Linked DNA regions of Saccharomyces cerevisiae S288C. The protein of the gene in region 2 interacts with the protein of the main gene of each other region in a biochemical or structural test. Each region holds a gene or a part of one and is shown on either strand. Other genes may lie near its edges. The genes, in order: ATG17, ATG13, ATG29 and ATG1.

Region 1 (7,656 bases), on a different chromosome or scaffold from region 2:
GCAAAATTATTTAACCAATACGGAATCCGTAGATAAACTGAGGTTACAGTTTTTATCTAAAACCCTTGAGTGGTTACTTACGCCGTATACTCCAGGCGATGACAAATGTTTTCACGTAGAATCCTTACGCTTGGTTAATTCTGTTTTCATTACAATAATCGAAGATTACAAATTTGACATGCTACAAAGGAACTTGATAAGGTTACTACCATATTTGTGTAAGTCCTTCGTCCATTTAAGAAGGTACTGTAAGAAAGCACGTTTAATGAGGCCTCGAAGAGTTTTTACCATGCTTTTTCCCAGAGAAATTCCATGCAACTACATACCGGTTGATTCAATAGTGAATGATGAAGTAGTCGTAGAAGTTCTTCTAGAGCTTGCCATCATAATTTGTGAAATAACGAAAATTGCATCAAGCAGATTTCCATCATATCAATCTTTCAGCGAAATCATAAACTTGTGCGATAAAGACACTCTTTTTCAATCAAATTTTTATTCACGACAAATCACGAATGAAAATGTCTATACAATAACCAAAACAGTTTTTTTGTTTTTTAAACAAGATTGGTTCCCAGGAATGAAGTGGCTTGGCGTATCAGCGTTATTAGGAAGATCGTCTCTAATATTGCTTAGTTTATGCAAGGATTATATCATAGAAAATAATTCACCTTCTCCATCAAAGGAGTCTGAAAAGAGGGTTGACATGCGACTTTGGGCAGAATATGTAAAAGTCATACTACTAGTTTCAAACCATAAAAGTGCATCCTTGACTAAGTTAGCTATTACTCCACGTAAGGCCGTTTATTTGATATCGGGTGACCTGAAAAAAATTTCAGCATATATCCTAAATGAATGTTGGGATGCCCTAGCCACTGGGCACTATAATATCACTTATGCTAAAAAGTATGGATTAGGAGCCTTGAGTGATTGCCAATTTGAATTGTTTGTTCATAATCAATTTTTGATACGTGAGATCTTTATTTTTGCTTTCCATAGACATATCGATGCAACAAGAATTTGTTGCAAAATACTATGGGGATTAGGGCTAAATTTTTGGAGGATATTTGGGTCCCTACAACCAGCAGTGAACGCATGTATCCCAGAATTATTCAGCGCATACCAAATCGGGAAGCTTCGTTTGAATGATTACGAATTGGAAAGGTTTGTTTCTTGTTTGTTTTTTATGATGCACGTTCCCGATTCTGACACCTTTTTTCCTGCTTGTATGGATTTCTTAAGAGATTTACTTGGTTTTTTGCATATTGTAAATGAAATCTACAAAATACCTAATCAAGAAGAATTTGATGATGATCGGACTGCTCGGCACATAGAGATGTTCGAGTACTTGCTAGAAGCAAACAGGCCAGAGTTGTTTCATAAAATGATATATGATTTGTTTATCCACTTTATTCAGAAAAAAGACTTTGTTCAAGCAGCTTTGAGTCTAGAACTCTTGGCAGGTACGTACGCTTGGGATTCTAATGATACTCTTGAAGCAATATCTTTCCCGCCATTGCCAGAGCAATCTTCATTTGAGAGGAAGGAATATCTTCTTAAGGAATCCGCAAGAAACTTTTCGAGAGGCCAAAAACCAGAAAAAGCTTTAGCGGTATACAAGGACTTGATAAAAGCCTACGATGAGATCAATTATGATTTAAACGGGCTGGCCTTTGTACATGACCAAATAGCAGGCATTTATACCAGATTACAGTCCATTGATAGACTGGTTCCAACGTATTTTAAAGTTTCTTTCATGGGATTTGGTTTTCCAAAATCATTAAGAAATAAATCGTTCGTCTTTGAGGGTCTCCCATTTGAACACATTACGTCTATGCATGACAGGCTTCTACGAAGCTATCATGGGTCAAATATTGTACACTCACAAGAAGAAGTGGATATGTTATTGATGAATCCTCCAATGGGAAAATACATTCATGTAGCTTCCGTCGAACCGTGCTTAAGTATATCCGATAATTACAACAGTAGTGACAAGAAAAGCTCAATTAACAACAAAGTGCGGATGTACATTGAGAATAGAGATTTGAGGACTTTCAGTAATTCTCGACGTTTGCCAGGCGCAAAAGGAGTCACTGACCTGTGGGTGGAGGAATATACGTATCATACTATGAATACTTTTCCAACACTAATGAATAGATCAGAAATTGTAAAGGTTACGAAGAGCAAACTTTCTCCACTTGAAAATGCAATTCGTTCCTTACAAGTTAAAATACAGGAGTTATATGGGCTTGAAAACATGTGCAATAAAACTCTGAAGGACCACGGTGATGTGAACGATTTATTTACCGAGCTTTCTACAAATATTACGGGAACAATATCAGCTCCAGTTAATGGAGGCATATCACAGTACAAGGCCTTTTTAGAACCCTCCACATCCAAGCAGTTCAGTACTGATGATTTAGGAAGATTGACGCTAGCTTTTGATGAGCTTGTTGCAGTATTAGGTCGCTGTCTAACGTTGCATGCAGAACTACTACCATCAAAGGATCTAAAACCATCACATGATCTTCTAGTGCGTCTTTTTGAGGAAAATTTCGCTGAGGAGATAGAAAGATATAGTCGTACTCTCAGTGAGGCCAATCGTAGCAGGAATAACATGATTACTGCTCGAATAATTTCGCACAAGAACCCCAATAAAAAGGCAAGCTTTTCTGGAAGGGATCATCACACCTCAGGGTCCAATCATAGCCAATTTGTATTAGAACATAGCGACTCATTTGGCCCAAACAGTTTACTTTTTGGAAAATATTTAACAAGAACGTTATCCCACTCGTCCACTACGAGCAGTTTGGATAAAAGTGGAATTGTTTCCGGCACTTCGAGCACCTTTTTGGCAGGGTCACAGCCAAACACCAACACAGATTCACAGCACAAGCATGATTACTCACATTCGGGATAATATGTCAGAAGTTGTTCACTATAAAATATACGCATATGTAATCATTTATTTATTCATTCATGACTTTTAGTTGAAAAGGGCACATTTTTCTTTGTCGTAAAAGTGAAGAAGACAGCGAATTTTTTCCTTTCTCCTTCAAGTATTGCTTTTTTGATAAAGTATTTTTCGAAATATTGATACAATTATTGAATCTTTGTACCGTATCCTTTTTTTCCTTTTTTCTAAGGATTCTTCACGTTGTAATTTAAAGTGTACAGGGAAGAAAAATCGTCAATTTTACCGGGCCAGATTGTCTCAGGAAGATAAGTTCCATTTTCCGCTATAAAATTCTGACGTTCTTCCTGGTCCTGAGCATCTAAATTCTGCAACTGCTTTTCACAATCTTTCAATATAGTTTTCATTCTGTTTGCCACATCCTTTCTCCTCTTTGCTTCTAGAACTAAGTTACCGTAGCTTTCTTCAAAATTATCATAAAATTCACAAAGTTCCTTAGTTGTTTGAATATCTTGTGTACAGGAATTTTTGAAGCTATCAATCAGATTGGAAATATCTTTAAAGATTAATAGATATTCCAAATTTCTATTGAAATCGTTTATTATTTCAGAAACTTCGCTGTGTAGTTCTGTCTTTTCCTTTATTTTTGCCTGCAAAAATTGACCCAAGTTAAGAATTGTTTTGTCCACGTCATCAATTACCTCATGCAGAGTTTTGAAAATGTTGTATAGTTCTTTGTCGTCGCCTTGTACCACCTTAAACAGCTCCTCACGTTCATCGTTATCAATTTTTTTATCTTGTAACAGCAATGTCTTATCAAAGTGCTGTGTCAATGAATTCATTATCTCTGCTAAATCTTTTTCAAGGTCCGTTAGTTCCCTGCTAAACTGCTCTGCAACATTTGTTTCCATCAGGTTATCTATACCAAATTTACTTTGGAATTTTTGAGTTACGTCCGTCAACTTGGTATCAATCAGTTCTTTGTTAACTTTTCTGACCATATTTTCGTATTGAAGCTTAATGTTTTCAATTTGACGCTCAATTACTGGCACTTCTTTCAGTTTGTCATTCAATAAGTTAACGTTGTCTCTCGAGATGTAATCTCCTAGTTTAGAGGGATCGGTATCATCTTTTTCTGATATGCTCAATTCATTTACTATACCATCCAACCTTTGTACTTTAGAAGTGATTTCATATTGCCAGTACTTCATCTCATCAACTAAGACCACTAAGACAGCTTGATTCCATTGTTTCTGGATTAGCTTTGTCCCAATGCCTTCCTTTAAAATAGTGTAAAGAAACTTTCCTTGCTGTCTCAAGCCAACTATTAGAAAATTGAGTTTTGAAATACTCAACTGCCAAGATGACAATTTTTTCTTAATATCTACAATCCTTAAATTAGCACTTGAACATAAAAGTTGAGCATCGGTCAGCGTTTTCCTGGCATTATTAACAAATTTTGTAACATCTGCTTCGTTCATAGGTGTTAAATACGTTGATAATATCCTCGCAGTATCGAATTTATCGTACGTTATGCGACTTTCAAATAATTATCAAGTTAGGGATATCTTGCAATTTTTAATACTGAGGCCTTAGAGCGCGCATCTAGTATTTACATTATGTCAAAACAATAACAAAAATCCAAAATTTCGAAATAGTACAACCGAGAGAGGTCGAAGAACTTAAGCCTTCAGTACGCCAAAACATGGAGGATTCGGACTCCAACACAGATAAAAAGTTCTTTTTCAAAAAAAGAAGAATCGATTCCTATAATTATAGCGATGAGGAAGATAATAATTCAAGCATGAATAGTGACATGACATACACTAATGATGCCTTGAAAACTAGTAGCGGCAATGCCCCAACGATCTCAAAATTAACGAAGACATATGGTATTGGTGCGAAGTTACTTTCGAGTATGGGATATGTTGCGGGAAAAGGCCTTGGGAAGGATGGTTCTGGTATAACTACACCAATAGAAACCCAAAGCCGACCTATGCACAATGCAGGTCTAGGAATGTTTTCAAATACCAACTCCAGTAACTATCACAGTGAAAATGAGGATTACTTGAGCTCTGAGGATGAGGTGGTTGAAGGTATAGAACAAGTCAAATTCAATAAAACCTCCACGGAGGTTTTAGGCGAAGCGTTGTTAAATGATAGTGGTGATATGACTATAGTGCGAACACTGAGAGAATTGAGGTTAGCAGGGGTACAATTACCAGAGAGTATCCTAAAAGAATTAGACCCTTTAAATGCAGTACCAAAGCCGAAAAAAGATGTTGTTGTGGAGATATTGCAAGAGCTGCTGGGTATTGAAAAAAGTTTGGAAGCTATTCGTCAGCGCACCTCTCCGTTAGAAGTGCAAGTCAAAGAATATTATGGACAAGAGAGGCTTCTTTCTGAATTGGAGGTTACTTTGAGGGACGAAAGCAAGCATGTTTCCCTGTATGATAAGATTGGTGCTATTTTAAAATTGTCCGACGACGAGCTCATAGATAGGCTAACGTCCTGCTTATTGAGAAAAGAATTACTAATAGAATTTGATTTGGATCATTTAGAAAAGCCAAACGATATACTTGATGAGTTAACGCAAATTATAGAACTACTCGCATATAGAATGGATACAACTTCGAAATTTTTGAACAGGACACAAACAACAATCTTTAAAGTTATATATCCCAAACTCAAAAAATTTTGGGAAGGGTTTGATATGACTAAATCAAAAATCGACAGCGCTATCACCCTATTACTGGATTTCCAACAAGTGCTAAGTTTTATCGGGTGTAAAGAGCATATCATGGAGGAATTCGTCTATCCAAAGCTATTACAGGAATTAGATAATTGGGAACTTCACGATGAAGTAGACCATGTTTCGCCAAGAATATGGGTCTTGGATTTTATGGTTTTAATTGACGATAAGATCAAAGACACAATTGTGGACAAGATTGAAGCAAAATTTTTTGCTTATTGTAAAAATTGGTACCATAGGGAATCATTTTGTATCACTAATTCTGATATTATATTTATCAAAGAACTTATCTGCGAACGAAGATATTACAAAATTTTATGTAAAGAGTTTCTTCCTAAATTCCTGGACGAGCTGTGGGAAAGACATAATGACCCCATCTACGAGTTAGAGGATTGGAAGGAAAAACAGGAATGGAAAGAAAAAGATTCTGGATTTTTCTATTTTATGAAAAAACTGAGAAGTTATACCCATTATTTTCATCCAAAACAGTATGAATTGATGATGCGGGGAACCTTTAATAATATAAACAAAATACTCTATCAATGGCATCTTTATAGTACAGTGGAAGACTTACACAAGTCAAAGTGGTGGCTTAATTGGCTGATGAATACGGTATTTGAGCACTCTTTACCAACAGAAATAGAACTATCGGAGATCAGAAAAAGCTATAATATATTCGCTATGTCTCATAGGTACCACCTTGATAAATCTACATTAGATGAAGATTTCGATTTGAGACAGGGTTTACGAAACTTAATGGAAACACAAGTGATCGACGATATTAGTCAAAGCGAACAAGAACCTACCTATACTGTACAAAATATTCCGCTTGGAAAAGTTAGCAGCTCTTTCAAGGATGTGGTAGAAGACTACTGCCTGGAAAAAGGGTACTTGATCAGCAAAATACCAAATAGGTACACTCAACTGCCATATGGAAGAGACCAAGATTGTATAGTTCCTTTATTTGAGATCCGAAACGGGAAGAAAAAAATGGAAGTTGCTTTGAAACATGATATTCTTTGGGTGGAGGATTCCAGTGGGACCTTTAAGCCAATTTATTTATGGGCCCTTGACCTCTAGAAAGTACCTATAAAAGAGGTGAGATAGGCACGATTTATATATTATTGTCGAAAAACAAAATTGATTAGATTACTAAATAAATAATAATTGCATTACCATTTTTAGACAATGGATTAATTTAAAGTGGAGTCTATTAATTCCCCTTATTTGATAGTTGTTGGTATTTTGCCCTTGAAATGTTTCCAAAATTTATTGTTTAAACTTTTATACTTCGCTAGACTCTCGTAGTTAGACTGTTAAGAGTTGTGGCAGAAGGAAACGAGTTTCGGATGGGATCAAAGGACCTTTTTTATATCAAGATCAAATGGAGCTGTTATTTTCCAAGAAAGACAGAAGAAAGCCCGAATGTGGCTAAGTAGTGAGCCTAATCAAGTAGTCAGCTTCACTTGATATTAGTTTATACGATTACTATTTTAATGGAGTTTTTAGCTCACTAAATAATTTAATGCAAAAAAAATAAACGACCCCAGTGAGGGTTGAACTCACGATCTTGCGATTAACAGTCGCACGCCTTAACCAACTTGGCCATGGAGTCTTTTATTTCCGATATCTGCTGAGTTAAAAATTATATAATATTATTGATAGCTTCTATCATTGACCTTCAATTACTTATGTTGGAATATCAAAAATGTGAGATTTTTTTTTTCAAATAGTTTTGAAGAATCAGCGAATAATTTGATACTTTTTGGGATTCTTGTTAGTAACGGCTATTGTTGGAGTTAAACTTCTTTAAATTTGTAGAGTATGTGGATTTTGATGTAATTGTTGGGATTCCATTGTGATTAAGGCTATAATATTAGGTATGTAGATATACTAGAAGTTCTCCTCGAGGATTTAGGAATCCATAAAAGGGAATCTGCAATTCTACACAATTCTATAAATATTATTATCATCATTTTATATGTTAATATTC
Region 2 (8,758 bases):
TGAGTTCCTCCACACTCCAGTCCTCAAAGGAACCATCTGGTAAATATCTTCTAATAACCAAAGGAATTTTCTTTTCAGCCAACTCCTTCATGGCAATACGCAATGGATCAGTTTCACCTTCTAAATCTACAAAAACTGGCGCATTCATGGAAATTTGTAGGGCTCTTGTACCTAAAATTCTTGCCCTTTCATATTTGGTCATGTATGGAGTAGTTGCTCTTTGGTCTTTTGGGATGGCCTTTTCCTTAAGTGTCTTTCTTCTTATTTGCTCATGCTGTTGAAAATCTTCTGGGCCATTACCACCAGTAACGATGGTCTTACCGTTGGCATCGGTTGTTTCACCATCCTTGAATTGAGGTTTTTCCTCATAAGTCTCCTCATCAGAAAAATGCTCTACATCAAAATCTTCGAAGTTCTCATTACCGTCGTTAAACCTGTATCACAATGATAGAAGTTAGTAAATATAATTAAAACTAAAGCACGCAATTTCTCCAATATGAATGCACATACGCCTCCTCGTAGTCTGACATGATCACTTGTAGCCTTAATCTTTACACTGTTACCTGCAAAATGTGTCTTTTTAGCCTTTCTTCAAGGTTGTGATTGATGCCTTTGAATGATATTCTTAAAAAAAAAAAAATTTTTTTTTCAATTAAATATCATACTATACGAATAATCAATATACAATGATTATTTATTATAAGAAGAACTAACTATCAAATAAGGGCATTAAGCACAGTAGTAACTGTTGAAATCGCTGTCAAATGGGAGGAGAGGTTCTAAATAATGAAGGAATGCCACTGGCCGAACTTAAACAGGAGACCATTCCCATATCACGATCAGAGAGTTCAGAATCATTGAACAGTTTAACATCAACTAGAAGCTCATCGAGCAATAGGCCAAAGACATATTTCTGTGACTATGATGGCTGTGATAAGGCATTTACAAGACCTTCAATTTTGACTGAACACCAATTAAGCGTACATCAGGGTTTAAGAGCATTTCAGTGTGATAAGTGTGCAAAATCCTTCGTTAAAAAGAGTCACTTAGAGAGACACTTGTATACGCATTCTGATACGAAACCATTCCAATGTTCTTATTGTGGAAAAGGAGTGACGACTCGCCAGCAACTGAAGCGACACGAAGTAACGCATACCAAATCTTTCATTTGTCCAGAGGAAGGATGCAACCTCCGATTCTACAAGCATCCACAATTAAGGGCACATATTTTATCTGTTCATTTACATAAACTAACCTGTCCACACTGCAATAAAAGCTTTCAGAGGCCATATAGGCTAAGAAATCACATTTCTAAACATCACGATCCTGAGGTAGAAAATCCTTACCAATGTACTTTTGCTGGTTGTTGCAAAGAGTTTCGGATATGGTCACAATTGCAATCGCATATAAAAAATGATCATCCTAAATTAAAATGTCCTATTTGTAGCAAACCATGTGTGGGGGAAAATGGTTTACAAATGCACATGATTATTCATGACGACTCACTAGTAACCAAAAATTGGAAGTGTCATATATGTCCTGATATGTCTTTTTCTAGAAAACATGATCTTCTCACGCATTATGGGTCTATTCATACGGAAGAAGATATCCCACTGGAACTAAAATATAAAATTTCTGATATTCAACAACTTGTCCAAGACCACGGAGTTCAACTGGGGAATAGCAAACACTCGAATGAGCAGGATGAAGAGAAGATTTCCAATAGGTTGAGGAAAAGGAGAAAACTTACCGAAAACAATAATGTAGAGTTTTTACAGAATGAAGTGGATTTAGAAAAGCGACTTGAGTCTGGTGAAAATGGGCTAAACCTTTTATTGAATACCGTTGGAAGAAAATACAGATGCTTTTACAATAATTGTTCTAGGACTTTCAAGACAAAGGAAAAATACGAGAAACATATAGACAAGCACAAAGTACATGAGCTAAAGTTAAAAATATTACAGGAAAAGGAAGAAAATAAAACGCTAGTGGACCAGAACCATAAGGAACCTTTTATAATTCAAAAGGAAACGCAGTCAGCGGGTGACAAATAAGCATTTTTTTTTTTTATTTTATATGCTAATTATATTACTGATATACATATTTGCCATTTTGTTACTGCAATTGGTATATCTCACTGTATATAATTATATATTCAATTCAAATGATAGACACATGGATCTTCAAGAGGTAAGAATATCGATAACAAAGAGAAACAAATCCATTATGGCTAATCTTTTTTATTTCAGTTTACTAGTATTGTATTTTTTTTTCTTTTCTTGCATATCTATTTCACCTTTTTTTTGATTATTTTTCTTTAGTTGTGCCCTTTAAAATAAAACTTTACCATTTTTAACCTTCTTTAGAAAGGTTCATATCACTCATGAAAAATACTAGATCATCATCTTGATCATCCTCGTCATTATGCATCACACCAACTGCATCATTCCCATTATGATTGTTATTGTTACTATTACTCCTATTACCATTATCGATTAACTTATTTGCAGGTTTATGAAATTTCGCCTGAGCTTGAAAGGGCGCAGTAGTTGGTTGAGAGTAATGGTATGGTTGTCTGATAGGTATCCTACTTTTTATGAAAGAACTTGAAATGCTATCAATTGATCTTGGAGATATTGAACTTTTGAATTTTGTAGCACTGTTTCCCATTTGGTTGAGCAAACGGTCATTCTCGTCATCATCATCTTCTTCTACTCCTAATTGGTTGTACTTTTGTATTTTGTTGTCGTGGTGATATGAAGTACTCTCTCCACCAAAAATAGGAGGTAAGCCTGACATACCCTGCTTGTTTGAGCTCTTATCTAAAGAATTCCTTCTACTATTCAAGGCACTAGTAGATGAATTCCCACCGCCTCTTGCAATCAAATGGCTTGCATTGGCGCCTTGAGACATTCTCGAGTTCAACGATCCATAATGCATCGAAGGGGATATTGAAGGCAATGGTGAGTGGGAATCTGATCTGCCTCTGTGATATGTATGATTTGGATCCATGGATAAACTTACGGATAAATCTTCACTTAATAAGTCATTACTTGGCTTCAAATTCTGATATCTGATTAGAGAATCAGAAATATTGATATTGGGTGGATTATTTCCACTTGTCTTCTTTATAGTTAGATCGGGTTTTTCTTCGAGTAATTTAACAAAATCCATTAAATCTTCTTGTGATTCTTGAGGTTGTAGTGGGCTCTTTACAGCTTTTGATACTTTTTCAGCATTCTCTGTCGTCTTTACACTTGAGTGACGACGAATGTTCCCAAAGGAGGAGGAATACTTTGAGGTGCTTCCAACACTGGTACCTTCAATATTCATTTGTGGCCCGTAGTTGGAGCTCATACTTGGCCTATGAACAGGTGGTTGGTTGAAAAACGATGAATTAGAGGGATTTCTGCTCGCACTTTGACTTCCAATTGAACCAACTTTAAATGGTTGAACAGGTCTCGATATTGGATAGACTTTCTTCTGCCAAGATTGTGGTTCAAAAGAATTGGCTCTTGTACAAGGAGAAAGTGAAAGAGATCTCCTATCAGGTATCTGTCTTTGTTGTTGTGTCTGGACCTGGTGTTGTCTCTGTTGCTGTTGCTGCTGCTGCTGCTGCTGTTGGGGCTGCTGCTGCTGTTGAAATTGTGGTTGGCGTTTCCCTATGTCTTGATCACTTTGTCCTTCTTGTTCTGGCTGATTCTGGGGTCCTTGTGAGTTATGTGAGACAGATGCATGTCGAGCTGAAAATAATTCGTCGTTTGTATTGTTAATTTCAAACTTCCAATCACGTCTGTATGATACCGAGACTCTTAAGAGTCCAAACTTTGTCCATACAGGTGTGATCTTCTTTTGATCTAAATGGGCTGGCAGGTTTGATTCGTTAAGCGCATTGGAATATGTATTAATAATCGGTTTGCTCAACCCTATTCTCCCCTTCGATAAAATTGGTTTAGATCCGTCAAGGACACACGTCCGGATACTTACTAGTGGGCCCGTGGAAGTTATTGGATTGGAACTTCCTTCATTTTGCGGGCCGTTATAAGACTTTATTAATAATTGGTATAATTCTGTTGTGGGTAGTAACTGTATTAAAGTCAACAAATAACGGAAGAGAAGGACTAGCTGTTTAGAAAGTTCATTAACATCAGTCTCATCTTCACTGTATGATTTGAAAGTTGGGGATGAATTATCTAATTCGATAAGCCAACGTTCCATCACGATTTCCTGCTTCTTAGTTCCTTTGCAAACGTTCCACAAATGGCCTTCGTGGTCCTTTAATCTAACTAAATGAGACGAGTTTAACTGTCTTAAATCCAAATATGTCTCTACCACTAAGGGTGGCAACTCTTTTCGACCATCGTAGTGAGACCATTTTGATATTATCTCGGGTAGCTCACTCACTAATTCTGAGTGATCTTCAAACCATGTGTCGTCAAATAGGAATATATTTTCTGTAGAAGACTGGTATCGACTTGATTCGGTGGAGCATATTAGTAGTGTAGTCTTCAGAAAAAAGCTGTCTATCAATTGAAGGACTTGCTTCTCGATGTCCTCTTCGGCAACCATGACTCATGCTATTCAACCGGGCTGTATGTTCTGCTTTCTTTTCAAGACTTGAGCCTGGAAGGTGTAAGTGGAATGTATTTGGTACCTATGAATTCGTTCTATATCTATGTGAGGTAACGAAAATCTATACACCCTTGTTTCTACTTCTCGCCTCTTTCTGTAACTGCCGCTGCTCACTTAGTTAAAAACTTAGATCTTAGCGAATTAAACAAAACAACAAAGATATCGAATTGATTGTAACACGCAAACGGCTCACTCCGGTTCAAATACGTACGTGGCAACCCTTTCACCTCTTGCTCTGACGCGTTTTGTCCCCCTTGGTTGGTGCTGTCCTTCACTTTCACGTGTGTTCCCTTTATTTCTTTTATTTTCGTTTTCGCTCTCGCTCCTCAAAACGATAATACATATACAAAAATATACGATTTTTATTTGTTTTATTATCAATAGAGATAGGGAGGTAAAAATATGTAAATATATATATATGTATATATAGTTGAACAGAAATAAAAGTATTAGCGGGTGGCAAAAAGGGACCGTTCAATTAATTTATGCTTTAGCTATTTTCAGGAATCATCTTCGTAGGCATCCCATAAATCATAAAATAGATCTAACAAACAAGCAGAACTCCAGGCTTGCGTGGGGCTTGAGTCATTGCATACTTCACCATCTTTATTGGTTAGCTCTGTCAATCCTGCCCACACACTTTCAAAAATCCATTTTCTATGGCCTTTTAATCTGTAGTATAATTGTTGATACAAATAAGAGGATGGTTTCTCTTTGGCAGCATTCTGACAACGTGGACTGGTTTTAAAGTGGAAATGATGGAACGCTCTTAAAAAGTAGCCGTAAAGCCAGACCCACTCAGGGCCTTGGTGATAGTTTCTACCCTTTGAGGTGGCAAAATCATCCGAATCTTCTCCGTTGTTGTAGTACGGACGGTAATTGTAATCGCTTGGGTCTAAAGTACGCATACCTACTGGACCTCTTAAGACTTCATCTGCAATGGTGATTGCTTTTATGGCATGCTCAGGCACAAATAACTCTGGTGCCACAGTCATGGCAATAGCAAAATTTGGTCTTAACTGATAATCTTCATAAGGCTTTCCTGATTTGTACAAATCTCTGTATATCCCCCGTCTATTAACACCCAATTTAGCGCTCACGTCATAATCTGCATCCTGTGATGGATCCTCCGGAACATAATATCTTTTTTCGAAATTGTCTTGAAGTAATTGATTCCATTCAGTGAAATCGATCCTCCCGCCGTCCTGCGTCTCCACATCGGAAAACTTAAACAATCCCTTGTTTTTTAGTTCAATAACAAACCTTAAAGCACTTTTTAAAAGCCCATTGATTTCTATTGCGGCTCCATCTCTGGGTGTTCCAGGAATACCAACAGACCCTGCTTTTTCACTTTCACCCATCTTATCCATCCAAGTACCACAGTTATACTGAGATCCACCATGAATTAAGCCAGTCGACCAATCGACATGAATTTCAACATTAAACCCTTTATCAGTCATAACACGATCTAAATTTGGACCTGCATTAGCCTCTCTGAATTTAATTCCCTTGGCATGCCTACTCAAAATTTCATAAATGATCTCCTCCAAGGTACTAGAGTAACTAAATGCCCTTGGATCATCTACAGGAATGTAAGTATCATCCAGTGGGAATCTCCTTGTTACTTGCTCTTGTAATATTTTTTCGCCATCAGGAACAATATAAACATAATCCTGTACAGCTTGCAAGAAGAACCAGGCAGCATCACGAGCATTATATCTCGGGTTTCTACCGGCATCCAGCAAGTTTGGAATTAAACCATGCTTCAAAGTCTTTGCAAAGGCTAGTATATGAGCTTTAGCTTCATCAAATCTACCTGTTGTTAATAGCATACCTCTTAGCGATATGAATACATCTCTCCCCCAACATCTCATGTAGTTTACGCTAAAGTGTGGCAACCCTGCAGCCATAGATGGAACATTTTCGCCTGGTAAAATAGAGGTTGACTTCATTCTGGAAACCATCTGGATTGATGTCATAGATAAGCTTTGTACAAACAATGTAGATTTACCAATATTACGGGACATTAGCTGTATTGCTTTTAAGCGACAACAACCATAGAGGATGCCGATAATTAAGGCGAAATAACTGGGCACTAAGTAGCTCGGTAACTTTTTCACTCTATCAAACCTTGAACGCAGCCAGTTCTGCACTTCATTGATTCCTGCTTCATCGCTATAGTAATTAAGTCTACTGATAGTGTAGTCTAAAGCCCAATGTCCATTTCTTAAATTTGCACTGAGGGGATGTGCTAAATCATTGTAAAACACAATTTTTCTTAATACGGAAACCCAACCTTGCAGACCACAATACACAGGCTTTCCAAAATTAGGAATAATATAAGCACCACCTTCGCCGGCGCTAACATCGTATTCTTCCGGCTCACTACGATACAAGACGGAATTTATTGACTCTAGAGTCAAACTTGAAGTGGCCTTTAAAGCACCTGACCTTATAAAATGATCTAAGGATTCGTCCACACCATTCTGTTGGGTCTCAAAAATGGCAATAGATCCTTGAGGGAATTCATTGGGCAGTTTTATCGTTGAAATCTTCTTAGAATCATCATAAGAAATGTCAAACCCTTCAAGCTCCTTTAATTTCGTGGGAATACCTTTAATGAATTTATCGTCGTTGGGAATTTCATCGCCAACTCTTTCCAAAGCATACGAAAACCTGAGAGAACAGGTGGATTGGTTTAACACCACTGGTGGTAAAGTCTCGTTAGGGTCATCATTGTCAGAAAATTTCATCCTTGCTATCAAGTACCAACCTTTTCCGGATTTAACATCCATACGATGAAAAGTAATGTACTGGCCCTGGTGATGCACATGCATTTCTGAGTCTTCAATGTCATACGCCTTTTCTCCTATACTCGTTCTAATCGAATTCAAAGTGGCCTTGACTTTGGTTATTCCTATCGAGGGGCTACCAGTAGGCGTAGAAATGTCATAATGTCTTTTTTCAGTGACCAAATTCAGTAAATGTGGAAAAATTTCGTCGTAGCCATAAACAGATCCAATGGCGGACGAGCAAAGAGCCACCAATGCAGCATTGGGCAAAGTATCCTCCACTGTTCTTTTTTCAAAGGGAGTTTCATTATCATGGGTACAGTCCATGAATAAAGCGTGTGGCGGAGTGGCGGTTAAAATCTTTGGAATCATGATCTCTGATACACATCTTATGGAGTTATCGTTGGAGTCGTTGAAACAATGCTCCTCGTTTAAATTAATATCCGCAGGATATGAGAAGTCATCCATAGGAACAAACTTATAGGAGCCAATGGGCCTCCCGCCATGCTTATGGACTAATCTAGACAACTCTTCTTCGGACCAGGCTTGCATTGCCTCTCTGATTAAAGAGGAGATACCCAACCGTTCAACAAACAGACAATCTAGTGTTTCGGAACCAGAAAACAGCTCTGCAACGACATATAGGTTCGGGTTGTATTTTCTTGCCAAATCTAGGAAATATTCGCCAACATGTATTGGAGTAGAATGGCAGTTGTCAATTCTGAACCCGTCAAATATCTTGGCGTTCATTTCTATATACTTGGACATTCTTTCCCACAGATACGGAGAGTCTTCAGGGCTTTTACCGTATCTTAACTTGACACAGTCCCCCCACACGATAACTTCTCTACGTAAATAAGCTCTTGAATTCTGCGATGCAAAATCCACTAGTGGGTTACCATTCCATATCCAGCCATTGTTGGCGAGGGCATAATCAGTACCATCTTTTCCTTTGAACCTCGTAAAATAAGGCTCTGTTAAGGGCACGTCAACGGTCACTGGACCTTGCTTGGGCCCACCGTCATCTAATCTCAAATATTTGATACGATTGAACAGTTGCTCGAGTATCTCACTGACATCATCGTCGTATTCTCTATATAAGGGTAAGTTGACCTCGTTCAAGATGTTTTGAGCCGTGGCCAACGAAGATTCACTGTCATCACTACCACCATCGTTAATGAGCTTCAGTAGTTGAATAAATTTTGGCACGTTAATCCTGTTTGAGTTTCTTTCACCAAGAGTGCCGAAGTTAGGCTCAGTGACGTTGTCCTTCACAAAGGAAGCTAGTTTTACGAAATCGGACGAGATGTCTTTAATATTCTCGGGAAAACTGT
Region 3 (7,272 bases), 670 kb from region 2:
TCTGTAGATGCACACGCTACCACTATCGACGTCATGATCGACCTCCCTAATTTGAGCTTTGCAGTTTACGATGATGGTATTGGTTTGACTCGAAGTGACCTAAATATATTGGCCACACAAAATTATACTTCCAAAATACGAAAGATGAATGATTTAGTAACGATGAAAACCTACGGTTACAGAGGAGACGCCCTATATAGCATTTCTAATGTCTCTAATCTGTTTGTTTGTTCCAAGAAAAAGGATTACAACTCTGCATGGATGAGAAAATTTCCATCCAAAAGCGTCATGTTGAGTGAGAATACCATACTCCCAATAGATCCTTTTTGGAAAATTTGTCCTTGGAGCCGAACAAAGTCTGGTACTGTTGTTATTGTTGAAGATATGCTGTATAATTTACCTGTCCGGCGCAGAATACTAAAGGAAGAACCCCCTTTCAAGACTTTTAACACAATAAAGGCAGATATGCTACAGATACTGGTAATGCACCCGATGATTTCACTCAACGTACAATATACAGACAAACTCAGAATCAATACAGAAGTTCTTTTCCGCTCAAAGAACATAACTGAGGGGTTAACAAAGCACCAGCAAATGTCTCAAGTACTGAGAAATGTGTTTGGGGCAATAATACCACCGGATATGCTTAAGAAAGTTTCCTTGAAGTTTAATGAATATCAGATTGAAGGGATCATATCGAAGATGCCCGTTGGATTGAAGGATCTTCAATTTATATATATCAATGGCAGACGTTATGCGGACAGCGCCTTTCAAGGATACGTCGATTCTTTATTCCAAGCACAAGATTTCGGGGAGAAAGGCATGAGTTTACTCAAAACTAAAAGCGTGGGAAAACCGTATCGATCACATCCCGTCTTCATCCTTGATGTTCGGTGCCCCCAAACTATCGATGACCTGTTACAAGATCCAGCAAAGAAAATTGTTAAGCCTTCCCATATACGTACCATTGAACCATTGATCGTTAAGACCATTCGCTCCTTTCTGACATTTCAAGGATACTTAACGCCTGATAAATCAGATTCATCTTTCGAAATAGTCAATTGTTCACAGAAGACGGCAACATTGCCTGATAGTCGAATCCAAATCAGTAAACGTAATCAAGTATTAAATTCAAAAATGAAGATTGCACGCATTAATTCATACATAGGAAAACCCGCTGTCAATGGATGTAGAATAAACAATAGTACAATAAACTACGAAAAAATCAAGAATATAAGAATCGACGGTCAGAAATCAAGGTTACGGAATAAACTCTCTTCCAGGCCCTACGATAGTGGTTTTACAGAAGATTATGACAGTATAGGAAAAACCATAACAGATTTTTCAATATCAAGATCTGTCCTGGCAAAATATGAAGTGATTAATCAAGTAGATAAAAAATTTATTCTCATACGTTGTTTAGACCAATCTATTCATAATTGCCCACTATTAGTTCTAGTTGATCAACATGCTTGCGATGAGAGGATAAGACTAGAAGAGCTATTTTATAGCCTGTTGACAGAAGTTGTAACCGGAACTTTTGTTGCACGAGACCTCAAGGATTGTTGCATTGAAGTTGATCGTACTGAGGCTGACTTATTTAAGCATTATCAAAGTGAATTTAAAAAGTGGGGAATTGGCTATGAAACAATTGAGGGAACAATGGAAACCTCACTTTTGGAAATTAAAACACTGCCTGAGATGTTAACTTCCAAATATAACGGGGATAAAGACTACTTAAAAATGGTCTTGCTGCAACATGCTCATGACCTGAAGGATTTCAAAAAACTTCCAATGGATTTATCCCATTTCGAAAACTACACTTCGGTTGATAAATTATATTGGTGGAAGTACTCAAGCTGCGTTCCAACGGTCTTTCATGAAATTCTTAACAGCAAGGCATGCAGATCTGCTGTTATGTTTGGAGATGAATTAACCCGGCAAGAGTGCATAATTTTAATTAGCAAGCTCTCGCGATGCCATAACCCATTCGAATGCGCCCACGGGAGACCTTCTATGGTACCCATTGCAGAATTGAAGTAAAGAGAACCTTAATCCTGGAACAAGGTTTGTCGCCTGCATTTTAAATTGCGCGGATATGCAAAACAGAAGATTACCTCATCACGTTGTCAAAACCTGGAAAAATTTAAAAAACAAAAACAAAAAAGAAACGTGCGATACAATACTGCTCCACTGTTGCATTACCGTTTTATGTATCTCTGATATTATAAATGTAGCCCTAGATTTATATGAATATATATATATATATATATACCATTTATATATGCAAACACAAAATAACCTAAAATTTAAAAATGACTATTGATGGAGACGTACATGAAATTTCCCCATTTTTCCAGGTTAGGCAAACTAAATGGGGCGGTAGGGCTTGTTTCAGTAATGGTAATATTCCTAAAGGGACAACAGTCTTGCAAGTCAGTAATTTTACAGGAACATCTATTTCCTATGAGTTCAGGAAGGAAGTTTGTCACAATTGTTTCGCATACGCTAATGCGAAAACTATGAAGTACAAACTAAACTACGATTACCTGAGAGATTTGGTTTGTAATGCACACTACCAAATTAACCCTAAGAAGTTTCTGGGCGCTGGACTGTGGTTCTGTTCAGAACATTGCAGAACTTCTTATCTTCAAATACCAAATATCATTGAATTAATTGAATGTTATGAGATATTACTGCATCATTTTCCAAGCATGCTGAAAAGATATAATTATACCTCTGAACAGGAGGAAAAATTAAACTCTATCTTAATTTCGGAAAATGTCATACAGTCTTCATGGGATGAGATTGAAAGTAAATGGATACCGCGCATCAACAACATGAAATCTGCGAAGAGAATAAATCAATTACCACCCACTTGCGAAGATGAATATTGCTGCATTAGGTTTGTGTGCGAGAGTTTGTTTAATCTTAAATATATGGATCCTCAGTGCATAACATACCGAGCTTTCAATATGTTACAATCGAATGAGCTTAGCAAAATATCTAAATTTCCTGTCTTACTGCACTTTCAAAAATTAGTATTTCAAACACTCTATATTCTATTACCTTCACATTTGCATAGAATGCTCTCCATACCGCTATTGAGACATATATTAGGTACTGAATATGGGAATGCTTTTGGTTTATGGCAAGAGGGCGAAGCCTCAGACAGCAGAGAATATTTTGGATACTGGGTATTTCCAGAAGCCTCCTATTTCAACCACTCTTGTAACCCCAATATAACGAAATATCGTAAAGGTAATTCAATGCTATTCACTATGAATAGAGATATAAAAAAGGATGAGCAGATCTGTATCGATTATTCCGGGGTACTGGACTTACCAACAGTAAAACGCCGGGCCTTTTTGGCCGACAGTTGGTTTTTTGATTGTGCTTGTGAAAGATGTAAATCAGAATTGCAATCTGTCCATTAGCGCTTCTTCCAACGCAGATTTACTAACACTTAAGCTCGAAGATAAATCGTCATCTGAACTACCGCACTCCATTTCTTTATTAATACCATCCTTATCCAATTTGTCATTAGGCTTATTCTCACTATCCGATGTTTTCTTGTGAATGTTCAAAATTTTGGAAGTTTGCAAATGTTGTAACGCCTCATTTGTTACTTCTGTCTCAACTTCTTCAGAATCCTGTCTTTCCGTGGTCAGTGGGCTTGCGGATACATTTAATAGATTATCATTTTGTAAAGTAGGGGTATATTTATGTATTAAATCAGACATCCCTTCATTCACTTGATCATTTGAATACTTCTCAAGATCTCTTTTTTTCTCCAATTGTAGTTGTAAAAGCTCTAAGTGTTCAGCAAATAATTTATATGTTCTCTTTTTAAGAAAAAATTCAGGCGTTTCAAATATTTTTGATAAATTCTGCCAATCTATTTGATCTTGTGAATAATTCAAATTTGATACCATTGTCCAAAGCTGTCGCTCCTTTGTTCCATTCCACTCAAATTTGGGAGGATCCAAGAATCCCTGTGGTCTCCTACCCTTAACTTTGATATATACAACTGTGTTTGTACTATTCATAATCATGAAAGTCAAGTAGGAAAATGCACAGCAGTACAATTATGTATGTCTCTTCTTGATAAGTATTCACTAACACCCCTTTATTTTCACCTTGAATCATTTTTTTGACGAGTGCAGTGCGTCTAGAAATAGTGTACTTGAAGAAAAAAGCCATCTCTGTAATAGAAGCACAAAACAAGAGAAAGTATTTGAGTCAATACAAAACTACAAGTTGTGGCGAAATAAAATGTTTGGAAATGTCGAGGGAGTCGAACGACACAATACAGAGCGATACGGTTAGATCATCCTCTAAATCAGACTATTTTAGAATCCAGCTAAATAATCAAGACTACTATATGTCAAAACCCACCTTTTTGGACCCATCGCACGGTGAAAGCCTGCCCTTAAACCAGTTTTCACAGGTCCCAAACATCAGGGTGTTTGGTGCTTTACCCACAGGGCATCAAGTATTGTGCCACGTCCATGGCATTCTACCTTACATGTTCATCAAGTATGATGGACAAATAACTGACACGAGTACATTGAGACACCAAAGATGTGCCCAAGTTCATAAAACGCTGGAAGTAAAAATTAGGGCATCCTTTAAAAGGAAAAAAGATGATAAACACGATTTAGCCGGCGACAAACTTGGAAATCTCAATTTTGTCGCTGATGTCTCTGTTGTAAAGGGTATACCATTTTATGGTTACCACGTTGGCTGGAATCTGTTTTACAAAATTTCTTTGCTTAATCCTTCTTGTCTAAGTAGGATTTCGGAATTGATTAGAGATGGCAAGATTTTCGGAAAGAAATTCGAAATTTATGAATCACATATTCCTTACTTGCTACAATGGACCGCAGATTTTAACTTATTTGGATGTTCATGGATAAACGTGGATAGGTGTTATTTTCGCTCTCCTGTTTTAAATAGTATACTGGACATAGATAAGCTGACAATTAATGATGATCTTCAGTTGTTACTAGATCGATTTTGTGACTTCAAGTGTAACGTACTCAGTAGAAGGGATTTTCCACGGGTTGGAAATGGATTGATTGAGATAGATATACTACCGCAATTCATCAAAAATAGAGAAAAGTTACAGCATAGAGATATACATCACGACTTTTTGGAAAAACTGGGAGATATTTCTGACATACCTGTCAAACCATATGTATCCTCTGCTAGGGACATGATAAATGAACTTACCATGCAACGAGAGGAGTTGTCCTTGAAGGAATATAAAGAACCACCAGAAACAAAGCGCCATGTGAGTGGTCATCAATGGCAATCTTCTGGAGAGTTCGAAGCGTTTTATAAGAAAGCACAACATAAAACAAGTACTTTTGATGGTCAAATACCAAATTTTGAGAACTTTATAGATAAGAATCAAAAATTCTCAGCCATAAATACGCCCTATGAAGCATTACCGCAATTGTGGCCAAGGCTTCCACAGATTGAAATAAACAATAATAGTATGCAAGATAAAAAGAACGACGACCAAGTTAATGCATCGTTCACCGAATACGAGATATGTGGTGTTGATAATGAGAACGAAGGTGTAAAAGGAAGCAATATAAAGTCTCGGTCTTATTCATGGTTACCGGAAAGCATTGCGTCTCCGAAAGATTCTACTATACTATTAGATCATCAAACAAAATATCACAATACGATAAATTTTTCAATGGATTGTGCTATGACGCAAAATATGGCAAGTAAACGAAAACTTAGATCATCTGTTTCTGCTAATAAAACATCGTTGCTGTCTCGGAAAAGAAAGAAGGTTATGGCTGCGGGATTACGCTATGGAAAAAGAGCCTTTGTTTATGGTGAGCCTCCTTTCGGTTATCAAGATATTCTGAATAAATTGGAAGACGAGGGATTCCCAAAAATAGACTATAAGGACCCTTTCTTTTCGAATCCAGTTGATCTAGAAAATAAACCTTACGCGTACGCAGGTAAGAGGTTTGAAATAAGCTCGACACATGTATCAACGAGAATACCCGTCCAATTTGGGGGAGAGACCGTATCAGTTTATAACAAGCCAACTTTCGACATGTTTTCCTCCTGGAAATATGCGTTAAAACCACCTACGTATGATGCTGTTCAAAAATGGTACAATAAAGTACCCTCGATGGGAAACAAAAAAACTGAGTCTCAGATAAGCATGCACACCCCTCATAGTAAGTTTTTATACAAATTTGCTAGTGACGTTTCTGGAAAACAAAAAAGAAAAAAAAGTAGCGTTCACGATTCTCTTACTCATCTGACACTTGAGATTCATGCAAACACGAGAAGTGATAAAATTCCAGACCCTGCAATAGATGAAGTTTCCATGATTATATGGTGTCTTGAAGAAGAAACTTTCCCTTTAGATTTGGATATCGCTTACGAAGGGATTATGATAGTCCACAAAGCTTCTGAGGATAGTACATTTCCTACTAAAATTCAACATTGTATTAACGAAATTCCCGTGATGTTCTATGAAAGTGAATTTGAAATGTTTGAGGCTCTAACTGATTTGGTATTACTTCTTGATCCTGATATTCTTTCCGGTTTCGAAATACATAATTTTTCGTGGGGTTATATAATTGAAAGGTGTCAAAAAATACATCAATTTGACATTGTCAGGGAACTTGCCAGAGTCAAATGCCAAATTAAGACGAAGTTGTCAGATACTTGGGGATATGCCCATTCCTCAGGAATTATGATTACCGGAAGACATATGATTAATATATGGAGAGCGTTGAGGTCCGACGTAAATTTAACGCAATATACTATTGAAAGTGCTGCGTTCAATATCCTCCATAAACGATTACCTCACTTTTCATTTGAGTCATTAACTAATATGTGGAACGCTAAAAAGAGCACAACCGAATTAAAGACTGTGTTAAATTATTGGTTATCAAGAGCTCAGATAAATATACAACTATTAAGAAAGCAGGATTACATTGCTCGAAATATCGAACAGGCAAGATTGATAGGAATAGATTTCCATTCTGTATATTACAGAGGATCACAATTTAAAGTTGAGTCTTTTTTAATCCGAATATGCAAGTCCGAAAGTTTTATCCTTCTTTCTCCAGGCAAAAAGGATGTTCGTAAGCAAAAAGCACTTGAATGTGTGCCTTTGGTTATGGAGCCAGAATCTGCTTTCTACAAAAGTCCTTTAATTGTGCTGGATTTCCAATCATTGTATCCATCCATTATGATTGGATACAACTATTGCTATTCGACTATGATAGG
Region 4 (9,252 bases), on a different chromosome or scaffold from region 2:
GTTCAGCCGCTGCCTCGATCATCTCTGTTATATAATAATGCGAGCAATAGTAGTAGTCGTATAAAAGAGACAAGAAAAGTCAAACTATTATATAATCCCTTAACTAAGAGACAAATCCTTAACAACTTTGAAATTTTAGCCACTTTGGGTAATGGACAGTACGGCAAAGTGAAATTAGCAAGAGATCTCGGGACAGGTGCGTTGGTTGCAATAAAAATTCTTAATAGATTCGAAAAAAGAAGCGGGTATTCTCTTCAATTGAAAGTAGAAAATCCAAGGGTTAATCAAGAAATTGAAGTAATGAAAAGATGTCATCATGAAAACGTTGTGGAATTGTATGAAATTTTGAATGACCCTGAGAGCACAAAGGTTTATCTTGTATTAGAATATTGCTCAAGGGGACCCGTTAAATGGTGTCCAGAAAACAAAATGGAGATAAAAGCAGTGGGACCATCAATACTCACTTTCCAACAGTCGAGGAAGGTAGTGTTGGATGTAGTATCGGGTCTGGAGTATTTACATTCCCAAGGGATAACGCATCGAGATATCAAACCATCGAACCTGTTAATTTCATCAAACGGAACGGTGAAAATATCCGATTTTGGCGTTGCTATGTCAACTGCCACCGGAAGTACTAATATACAATCATCGCATGAACAACTTTTAAAATCTAGAGCCTTAGGGACCCCTGCTTTTTTTGCACCTGAGCTTTGCTCCACTGAAAAAGAGTATTCCTGCTCATCTGCCATCGATATCTGGTCATTGGGGGTCACTATATACTGCTTGTTGTTTGGAAAGTTGCCTTTCAACGCCAATTCAGGATTAGAACTTTTCGACAGTATTATCAATAAACCCTTAGAATTTCCATCTTATGAGGAAATGTTGAATGGTGCCACTTCGGGAATCACAATGGAAGAATACACTGATGCCAAAGATTTATTGAAGAAGCTGTTACAAAAAGATCCTGACAAACGGATAAAACTAGCAGACATCAAGGTACATCCGTTTATGTGCCATTATGGTAAAAGCGATGCAGCATCCGTATTGACCAATTTGGAGACGTTTCATGAGTTGAAAGTTTCACCGCCCTCTTCATGCAAAAGGGTAGAATTGGTCAGCCTACCAGTGAATTCATCATTCGCCTCTTTAGATAGCGTTTATATGGAAAATTTTGACCACAATAACCTTAGGACTGGTGCTGACAGAAATTCAACATATTCTCCATCAATATACGACGCAAATACCTTATCACCCTCAGCATATCACAACATCGGTTCTAGAGAGTCATCCTATTCGTCCTTTTCCTCTTTCACATCATCCACCGCTTTTGCATCTCAGATCAGTATTCAGGATGCCCCAGCAATCGGTGATCAACAATGCTTGATAGGTGAGAGTGGAAGTTCATTAAGAGTGAATTCTTGTGAGTTTCCACAATATACAACTATGTCTCCTGTAGGAGAATATCCCTTTGAGAGTACGGAAGCAAGTTTGAGCTCTACTCTTACGCCTGTCGGTAATGTACCTCAACGTATAAAAGCCCACCTGGTAGAAGGGAAATCTAACAGCAAGGATGACCTTAGAATAGAAGCAGACGCATCACTTGTATTTGAGGCTAGCGACGCCCAGCGCACGAGAAGAAGAATGTCTCTTTATAAGCTTTAGCATGATATATGTAAATTATTTTAATAGATGTAATATATGATTAGAAACTTGATAGAAGGATCTAAGTTAATTGTCATGTCGGATCCTAATACCAATTCTTTTAATATTGTGTTTGTTTTTGAACGTTTATTATGACTTGTAAAATACTGTTTGTAACAACAAATTATAAAATGAATTTTAATGAACTCAACAAGTAAAAATAATAAAGATATTAATGACTTGTTAAAGCCTCCTCAATCAAATCATACATACATACATTTATATATATATATAGAACAAAAGGTTAAAGAATCAAATTTTGAAGAAATAAAAATTAGATTAAAAGGATATGTATAGCCAAAGGCAAGTACTAAACGCAACAAAAAAAAACTTAAAAAGAAAAAAACACACCGAAACCGAAGGAATTCAATAATTTCCTTAATTAACATTTAAACATCAAAATAAAACCCATCCAGGTATAAAAGAGCTGGATTTCAAGAAAAAAATCACGTAGAAATAAAAACAAAACAAAACACAAAGGGAAAATAAAATTTGAATACTTTAATGACGAACTCGTAAAGCATTTCGAGAGTAGCATAACATAATCATGAAGATACTTGAAAATATAGCAGGTCATTTGTACTTAATAAGAAAACCATATTATGCATCACTTAATTTTGGTGGTTCATCTTCTGCCTCAATATTTTCAACCTGTTTGCAATACTATCAATATACTTTCTTATGATTATTCTGTCATTTTCATCCAACACACTATGATACTTCTCTTTATCTTCAACGTCGTTACTTTTTAGATGTATGTTAGTTTTAAAAGGGTAGTCACCATAGGCATTCGTAAAATCATCATCGTCCAGAGAAGTTTCTAACATCCAAAGTGAAGTTGCATAAGCTAATTCACAGTTGTACAAATTTTCTCCTTTTAATTCCATATGTGCGGCCATCTTAGATATTTCTAATGCACGATCATATAATAGCTTTTCTAAATATACTGGCTCTTCCGAACTACCTTTTTCTTCCAAAGTTTGATTTTCAGCTACCTCAGAAGCATGCTTGAATCTCAAGTCGTTAATTTTTAATCTCAGGAAATCAGCTTTTTCTAAACATTCATTAAATTTTTCCCTTAGCCACTGTACCAACACGTTAACTCTTAGAGAACATGATTTTTCTTGAGATTCATACCACCAGTTGGACGTTACCTGCATAGATTTTGATAAAATGGATAATGCCTTCATATATAAGACAATGGCCTCATTACATAGAAGGATCATTTCCGAACGTGGTAGTTTATTGAAAGTTGCACTCAACTGAGATGTGGCAGATAAAGTTCTACCCTTTCCAAAAGTTTTCGTGGATAAGCAATCTTCCTTGTACTTTTTCAACGTTTCATCCTCTTCTTCTGCATCGTCTGAGTCTTGTTCTTCTGCAATAGCATTACTATCCATACTGCGCCTGTTCTCAAAGTTAGCCATGCCTTTTAATGTTGTTGATAATGGAACAATTTGAGAAAATTTCACTTCTGCATAAGAGTAAACAACAAATGCCTTTGCGGCCAGAGATTCCAAAATACTAACGATATTAGTATTATCTAATTTCAGTGTCTCTGGATGCTGTAGGTGATCTATTCTTAATATTATATTCTCAGTAAGTTCATGAAAAAGTTGGGAATTCAACAAAGTTTGACTGTACGGTGGGGAAGATGTGATTTGTTGCTGTTGCTGCTGTTGATTTGCACCACCAAACAATCTCGTTGATGCAATACCGAGGGCTCTTGATAATGCATTAGATGGATTCAGCGAGGATATAGACAAGCGTCTATCCACCAAAGATGGTCGCCTAGACCCATCACTACCTCCACTGGAAGATGATGTGGCCCTCAGTAACCTCGGATTTTCTCCTTGATTTTGAAAATACTGTTGATTGTTTGGAGAGAATTGCTCATTCAATAAGACGTTCTGATTTTGAGTTGAAGTTGGGTGCTTAATAGGATTTGGATTGAATCCTGCTTGAGCAACCTCGTCTGCCAATGAATTAACTTCAACCGATTTCTTCTCTACCACCACATATTCTCTTTCAAAGCTTCTATCTGAAACTAGGCTATTATGGTATTTATTATTTGAAGCCTTTTTATCTACGGCTTGTGTATGGTCTGTTTTAACGGCTGGGGCAGTTAATATATTGCTGTTCTTGAGGGCATCACTGAGCTCCGCGGGATTATCTGCCATTGATTGATGACCTGCAAGATTACTGTTCGGACTCTTTGGCTGTTTAGATAAATACTCAGAAACGAACATATTACTTTCTACAATACCTTTTGATTTGGATTCTAACTCAGGTAAATCATCTTCCAATTCATAAGAAGACAAGTCTTCGTTGACTACCTTGTTAGCAAAAAACTCCTCAAATCCTATTCTTTGGGCTGGATCAAATGTCAATAAACTACATATCAACTCTTTTAACTCTGGTTCAATATTGCAATATGAAGGAAACGTTATGACATCGTTTGCTCTTTTAATTTTCTTGAATAACTCCAAATGATTGGAAGCTCTAAACGGTGGGGTGCCACAGCACATTTCGAATACCACTGTACCGACAGACCACAGATCTGCTTTAGCGTTATATTTTTGATAATTCAAAATTTCTGGTGCCATATATAATGGTGAGCCACAAAGAGTTTCTGCTAATGACGTGTTTGGCAAAAATCTTGCAAACCCGAAATCTGCTATCTTTAAAATGGGTAAGTTGTAGATCCCAACAAATCCAAGTTCATGGAAGCTTTTTGAATCATGATATCCAATTAGGGGTGTAGATAATAGTAAGTTTTGAGGCTTGATGTCTCTATGAACCAAGTTTTTAGACCTCAAAAATTTCAAAGCGGACGCTAACTGCTGTAAATAACTCAAGACAAACGCTCTATGCAGGCCGTTATGGTTCTCACTCGGTGGAGGGTATTTTTCAAATACGGTCCTTAGTAGAGGATGATTCTCCATCAATTCTTTACGCCTTTTCAACAGAAATGTTAGGTCCCCAAGAGCACAGTACTCCATGATCAAATAAAAATCTGTTGATGTTCGTTCACAGTCAATAAGTCCGACGATATGAGGATGCTTGATTTTCTTCAAGATAGCGATTTCTATTTCCAAATTCTCTAGTAATTTCTTATTTTTTAATTTCGCCCTTGATACTTCCTTTATGGCTACATGCTGAGATTTGTCGGATGTCAGATGCCCTCTATATACAGTGGCAAACGAACCCTTTCCGATTTCTTTCTCAGCGGTGTAATTTCCTGCACTTGCCATTAGATTATGGTTCACAGAGGTTGTGTGATCTTTATTTTTAATGTCTCCCATTTTCTTAATTTCTCGTCTGGTGTTGTAAAAGAGATTTGAAAATATGGGGTAGCTTCAAATTCGTTTTGTGGAGATATCAATGATTATTCTCCTATCTCCTTTGCCTTATGTTTTTATTATATTATATGTTATTTTATTATGGGTACTATTACTACGATTGTATTATATCTTTTTATCTTCTATAGTACTGTTCTCTGTTTCCCCAGAAACTAAAAAGGGTAAAAGATGGCCTTGGTACTTAACTTAAAGGTGATGAAATGTGGCGTTCTAGAATTAACCTCGGCCTAAAAAATAAAAAGCTAAAAAAAAATAGTACGATCAGGAAGATATTAATAATATAAGCTCCTTTATGAGATGCTCGATTCCTTTTGTTGCCAACTAAATGACGCTTAGAATTCCATCGATTCCACGATCGATATAGTTACAAATCACAAACTGATGCTGATGGGGGAAATGGTTTAAGAAATCAGAGCCGAGCGGTTAAAAAGAAAAACAGATGCTTGAATACGAATGATATGCTTGCTTCTTTAACGGTATGGCTTTCCAGTAATAGTTACTCCGATAAGATTCATTACAGATACACGAAACGAACAAGGAAAAGATGATTAACGGGAAAAAAAGAGAGTTCCTTATCTCATTGATTTTAACTAGTGGGTTTTCCTTACATTACCGCCCAATCCCTTTTTTTTTTCTCGCTCTCACCGGCGGAGCGCGAGCGGAAAACGCCACCCAGGTGACTTTTGCGCTAAGTGTGGATCAAATACAGTGGTATTAGTCATTGATGTGCAGCGTAAAACGTCCGGAGCAGCTGTGTAATGCGGCTGTGTAGGGTGAATACAATAGAGAATATGACTAATTCTGGTATATAGTCGTTGTTTACAGATATCTTTCGTTACTTAGTGTCATTTAATTACTTAGTGTCACTCTATATGATATGTAATGCGGAGCAGCGGCAATGTATCTTATTTTTATTGTGTGTAGAAATAACCTTGTGGCAGGTTTCCTCCTTGCGACATTTGCTGAAAAGATAATGGCGCCTGTTGCTGTTGCTGCATCTGAAGCTGTTGCATCTGGATCTGCTGTGCTTGAGCCTGAGCCTGGGCCTGAGCCTGAGCCTGAGCCTGAACTTGAGCCTGTGCCTGTGCCTGTGCCTGAGCCTGAGCCTGTGCGACAGCAAGCTGTTGCTGTTGCTGTTGCTGCTGTTGCATAGCCATGGCGTATTGCTGCTGATCTACATATATCATTCCGGTAGCAGGATCGTAATACTGTTGAAGGGTACCATCGAAAACTGCTGGCTTTGCTTGTACAAAAGATGCTGAATTTGAAGTAAAATCTGGCGTGATTACATTTGTACCATCAAAAATAGCTGGCTGTGGGCCACTTGTTGTCGCACGTCTCCTGGGCAGGGGCGGAGTTGATGTTGTCGCTGCTGCCGATACACTATTTCTTGAACTTGAACTTTTTTCTAGATAATCGATTGCTCTATTGATATTTCCGTGAGCGGACGATAATGCATCTAAATTTTTGTTTGTATCACCGAAACCCATGTCCTTGAGTTCTGCCAGTTGCCTAGAATATCTGCTTCCACTGCTTTGGAATGAGTCCCTGGAACCGCCGTAGTCAGACCTATTATGGCCCCCTTTATAGAAAGAATGAGATCTGCTCCTGCTCCTACTTCTATTTCTTTCATCAAACCTGTCCGATTCCCCATCAAAATCATCCATTCTGGATCCAAAGTCTTCAGGCTTTATTTCATCATACCTGAATTTACCCAAAATATACTTGTCTCTAATGTAATGCTCCACGATGGCTTTGTCATCATCTCCATCAAAAGGAAAAGGGACATTTTTAGGATTCCAGAACCGAGCATTCCCCTTATTGCCTCCAAGACTCACTAATTCATCGATATCCTCTCTTGTCCATCTATCCATTGATAGTGATTTAACGTTAGAAAAGGCATCGTCGTCTCTGCTACCGAAAACTTTTCTATGAACAGAGGCACACCTACCACAAAGGAAAACCCCCAAATTAACTGAGCACCAAGTTGGGTAGAAATTACCACATTCACCGCATTTATTGGCATTCTCGGACGAATTAATCAACTCCTTTAATTCTCTGTCAACATGTTTTAAGCTATGGGAAGAACTCCTAAACCTCATTTTTGACTAAGTATAAATAAACTATAATCTGTGATTGACAGAACGCTGCCTCCATCTATATTAATGATTGATCAAGAGAAAATGTTCTTCTTCCACCCTTTTGTGAAGCATTTAGAGATCAACACTAACTTTCTTCAACTTACAATAATTTCCGGGTGCCCCCATTTATCGATTACCCGGATCCGCTTTGCATCATAGTGTGTCGTTGTCGAAACAAAAGCGCCGTATTATTTGGTCAACGTTTAATAAAGTAAAAGCAGCATTTGAGATGCTCTATACAACCTTCTTAATTGCAACCGACATAAAGGTATGTTTTTCTCTTCTTATTATGACAAGGGAAACTTGAAGAAGAATTCGTGTCTTGCCATAATTTCAGCATCATCGTCTCAACCTAAGCCTCTTCTCACGAAGGCACGCTCAAATATCTTTCTGGCTCTAAAAATCTTGAATAACGAACCGAATTTACCATCTTTCCTGCTTTTTTATGCGTCGAAAAAAAGTAAAATAACCGCCCAGATCACGAAATTGCATATAAAAGGCGATCTCCCGTCCCACCGTTATTCTTTGCGATATAGACTAAACGGCGGAAACTTTATGTGTAGTATCATAAACATTCAACAATGGTATGTCTAATAAAACCATCATGGTACACAGGACTGAACACTAACTTATAGACGGGTGCGTGCTACCCTCTTCTTATTATTAGGGGCCAAAGAGACAGACAGTATCACTCCAAGAGAAAAAGAACCGGATTCTGAACTTTTTTCAAGAGACGTACACATTCTACAACATCAAGGAATTAGAGAAAAGCATACCTAAAAAATGCGGAATCTCACCCATGATCGTTAAAGATTTAGTGCAACAAATGATTGATGAAGACGGCGTCATTTCGGTGGAAAAATGTGGTAATATTAACATCTACTGGTGCTTTAAAAATCAGACACTGCAAAAATTGTATGATTCAAGCGAGTTGATAAAAAAAAAGATACAGGAAGTAAAGTGTGATATTGCCACTTATAAACAAGAACTAGACAAAACGCTAGCAACTGGAAGGCGTAAAAAATTTACGGTAGGCCAAAAATCATACAATAGGGAGGCTCTACTGGAAAAGAGAAAAAAAATTCAGGATGAAATTAAGAAAAAGAGTAATAGTCTCCAAAAAATAGAAAGCATTAGATGGGATGCAGCAAAAATACAAGAGAATAAACAACAGATCCGCCTAAAAAAAGTGCATCTGGAGAAAACTACTGATAACATTGAGATTCTCATTGATTATTTATACAAGAAATTCTTTTTGAAGCCAGAACAGATAAGAAAAGAATTTGGAATTCCAGAAGAGTTCAAGGAATTTACGGAGGTTTAACCTTCATGCACTATACACGAAAGAACAAAAGTGTCTTGATTATTACATCTACATTTCCAGGCATAGAGCTTGCAGATTAGCCGCCCATAAATTTGCCACACTGTTTTCCGTGGCGCCACAGTCCGCGTTTGGTTATCCGGCTGACTCATTCTGACTCTTTTTTGGAAAGTGTGGCATGTGCTTCACACAATATAATTCCCGTGAGCACAGCATGCTTCGGGCCGAAGTCTGTTGGAGGCATATGCTCCTACCTTGGAAGACTCATCGCATCTCAAAAGTGTGTAAAGGGGCCTTCTGGCCATATATCCTCTGAGACCTGGTTGAAATGTGGCCAGAAGCAAAGCTGATAAAAACAACTGGCGCATACGTAGCTATATTTTAAATAAATAAATAAATAAATATATATATATATATATATATATATATACATATATATACAGTCATTGCCACACATCCCATAGCTCTGTGTGCTTACAGTTCATTAAAAACAAAAAATATCAAGCAAACAACAAAAGCATAGAAGCAAAAAGATGCCGATCAAGAGATTAGATACAGTTGTGGTAAATACCGGCTCTCAAAATGACCAACATTCAGCCTCCGTGCCACCGGTGTATTTGTCGACTACCTTCAAAGTGGACTTGAATAATGAAGATGCACAGAACTACGATTATTCCAGATCGGGAAACCCGACCAGAAGTGTCCTTCAACACCAGATTGGTAAGCT

Evidence for each region.
Region 1: the proteins of ATG13 (region 2) and ATG17 form a complex in vitro, tested with the Saccharomyces cerevisiae proteins (5 studies listed by BioGRID, with this or other methods).
Region 3: the proteins of ATG13 (region 2) and ATG29 form a complex in vitro, tested with the Saccharomyces cerevisiae proteins (2 studies listed by BioGRID).
Region 4: the proteins of ATG13 (region 2) and ATG1 form a complex in vitro, tested with the Saccharomyces cerevisiae proteins (6 studies listed by BioGRID, with this or other methods).

The regions. Positions count from the first base shown.
Region 1 is NC_001144.5:968,779-976,434, forward strand, and holds ATG17 (protein kinase regulatory subunit ATG17), read right to left. Parts: upstream 4,393-7,656; coding exon 3,139-4,392; downstream 1-3,138. Other genes in the region: guanine nucleotide exchange factor DCK1, read left to right, coding at 1-2,917; mRNA splicing protein SPP382, read left to right, coding at 4,617-6,743. UniProt on the Saccharomyces cerevisiae protein: Autophagy-specific protein that functions with ATG13, ATG29, and CIS1/ATG31 in response to autophagy-inducing signals as a scaffold to recruit other ATG proteins to organize pre-autophagosomal structure (PAS) formation.
Region 2 is NC_001148.4:903,029-911,786, reverse strand, and holds ATG13 (serine/threonine protein kinase regulatory subunit ATG13), read right to left. Parts: upstream 4,570-8,758; coding exon 2,353-4,569; downstream 1-2,352. Other genes in the region: DNA-directed RNA polymerase core subunit RPO26, read right to left, coding at 1-434, 511-530; PZF1 (Pzf1p), read left to right, coding at 765-2,054; GDB1 (bifunctional 4-alpha-glucanotransferase/amylo-alpha-1,6-glucosidase), read right to left, coding at 5,133-8,758. UniProt on the Saccharomyces cerevisiae protein: Activates the ATG1 kinase in a nutritional condition dependent manner through the TOR pathway, leading to autophagy. Required for autophosphorylation of ATG1 at 'Thr-226' and its dimerization. May also be involved in the regulation of autophagy through SNF1.
Region 3 is NC_001148.4:234,121-241,392, reverse strand, and holds ATG29 (Atg29p), read right to left. Parts: upstream 4,056-7,272; coding exon 3,414-4,055; downstream 1-3,413. Other genes in the region: mismatch repair protein MLH3, read left to right, coding at 1-2,043; SET6 (Set6p), read left to right, coding at 2,316-3,437; REV3 (DNA-directed DNA polymerase), read left to right, coding at 4,286-7,272. UniProt on the Saccharomyces cerevisiae protein: Plays a role in autophagy. Functions at the preautophagosomal structure (PAS) in order to form normal autophagosomes under starvation conditions. Also plays a role in mitophagy and regulation of filamentous growth.
Region 4 is NC_001139.9:155,819-165,070, reverse strand, and holds ATG1 (serine/threonine protein kinase ATG1), read right to left. Parts: upstream 5,007-9,252; coding exon 2,313-5,006; downstream 1-2,312. Other genes in the region: serine/threonine protein kinase TOS3, read left to right, coding at 1-1,662; GTS1 (Gts1p), read right to left, coding at 5,975-7,165; MND1 (Mnd1p), read left to right, coding at 7,786-7,788, 7,872-8,528; cystathionine beta-lyase STR3, read left to right, coding at 9,059-9,252. UniProt on the Saccharomyces cerevisiae protein: Serine/threonine protein kinase involved in the cytoplasm to vacuole transport (Cvt) and found to be essential in autophagy, where it is required for the formation of autophagosomes.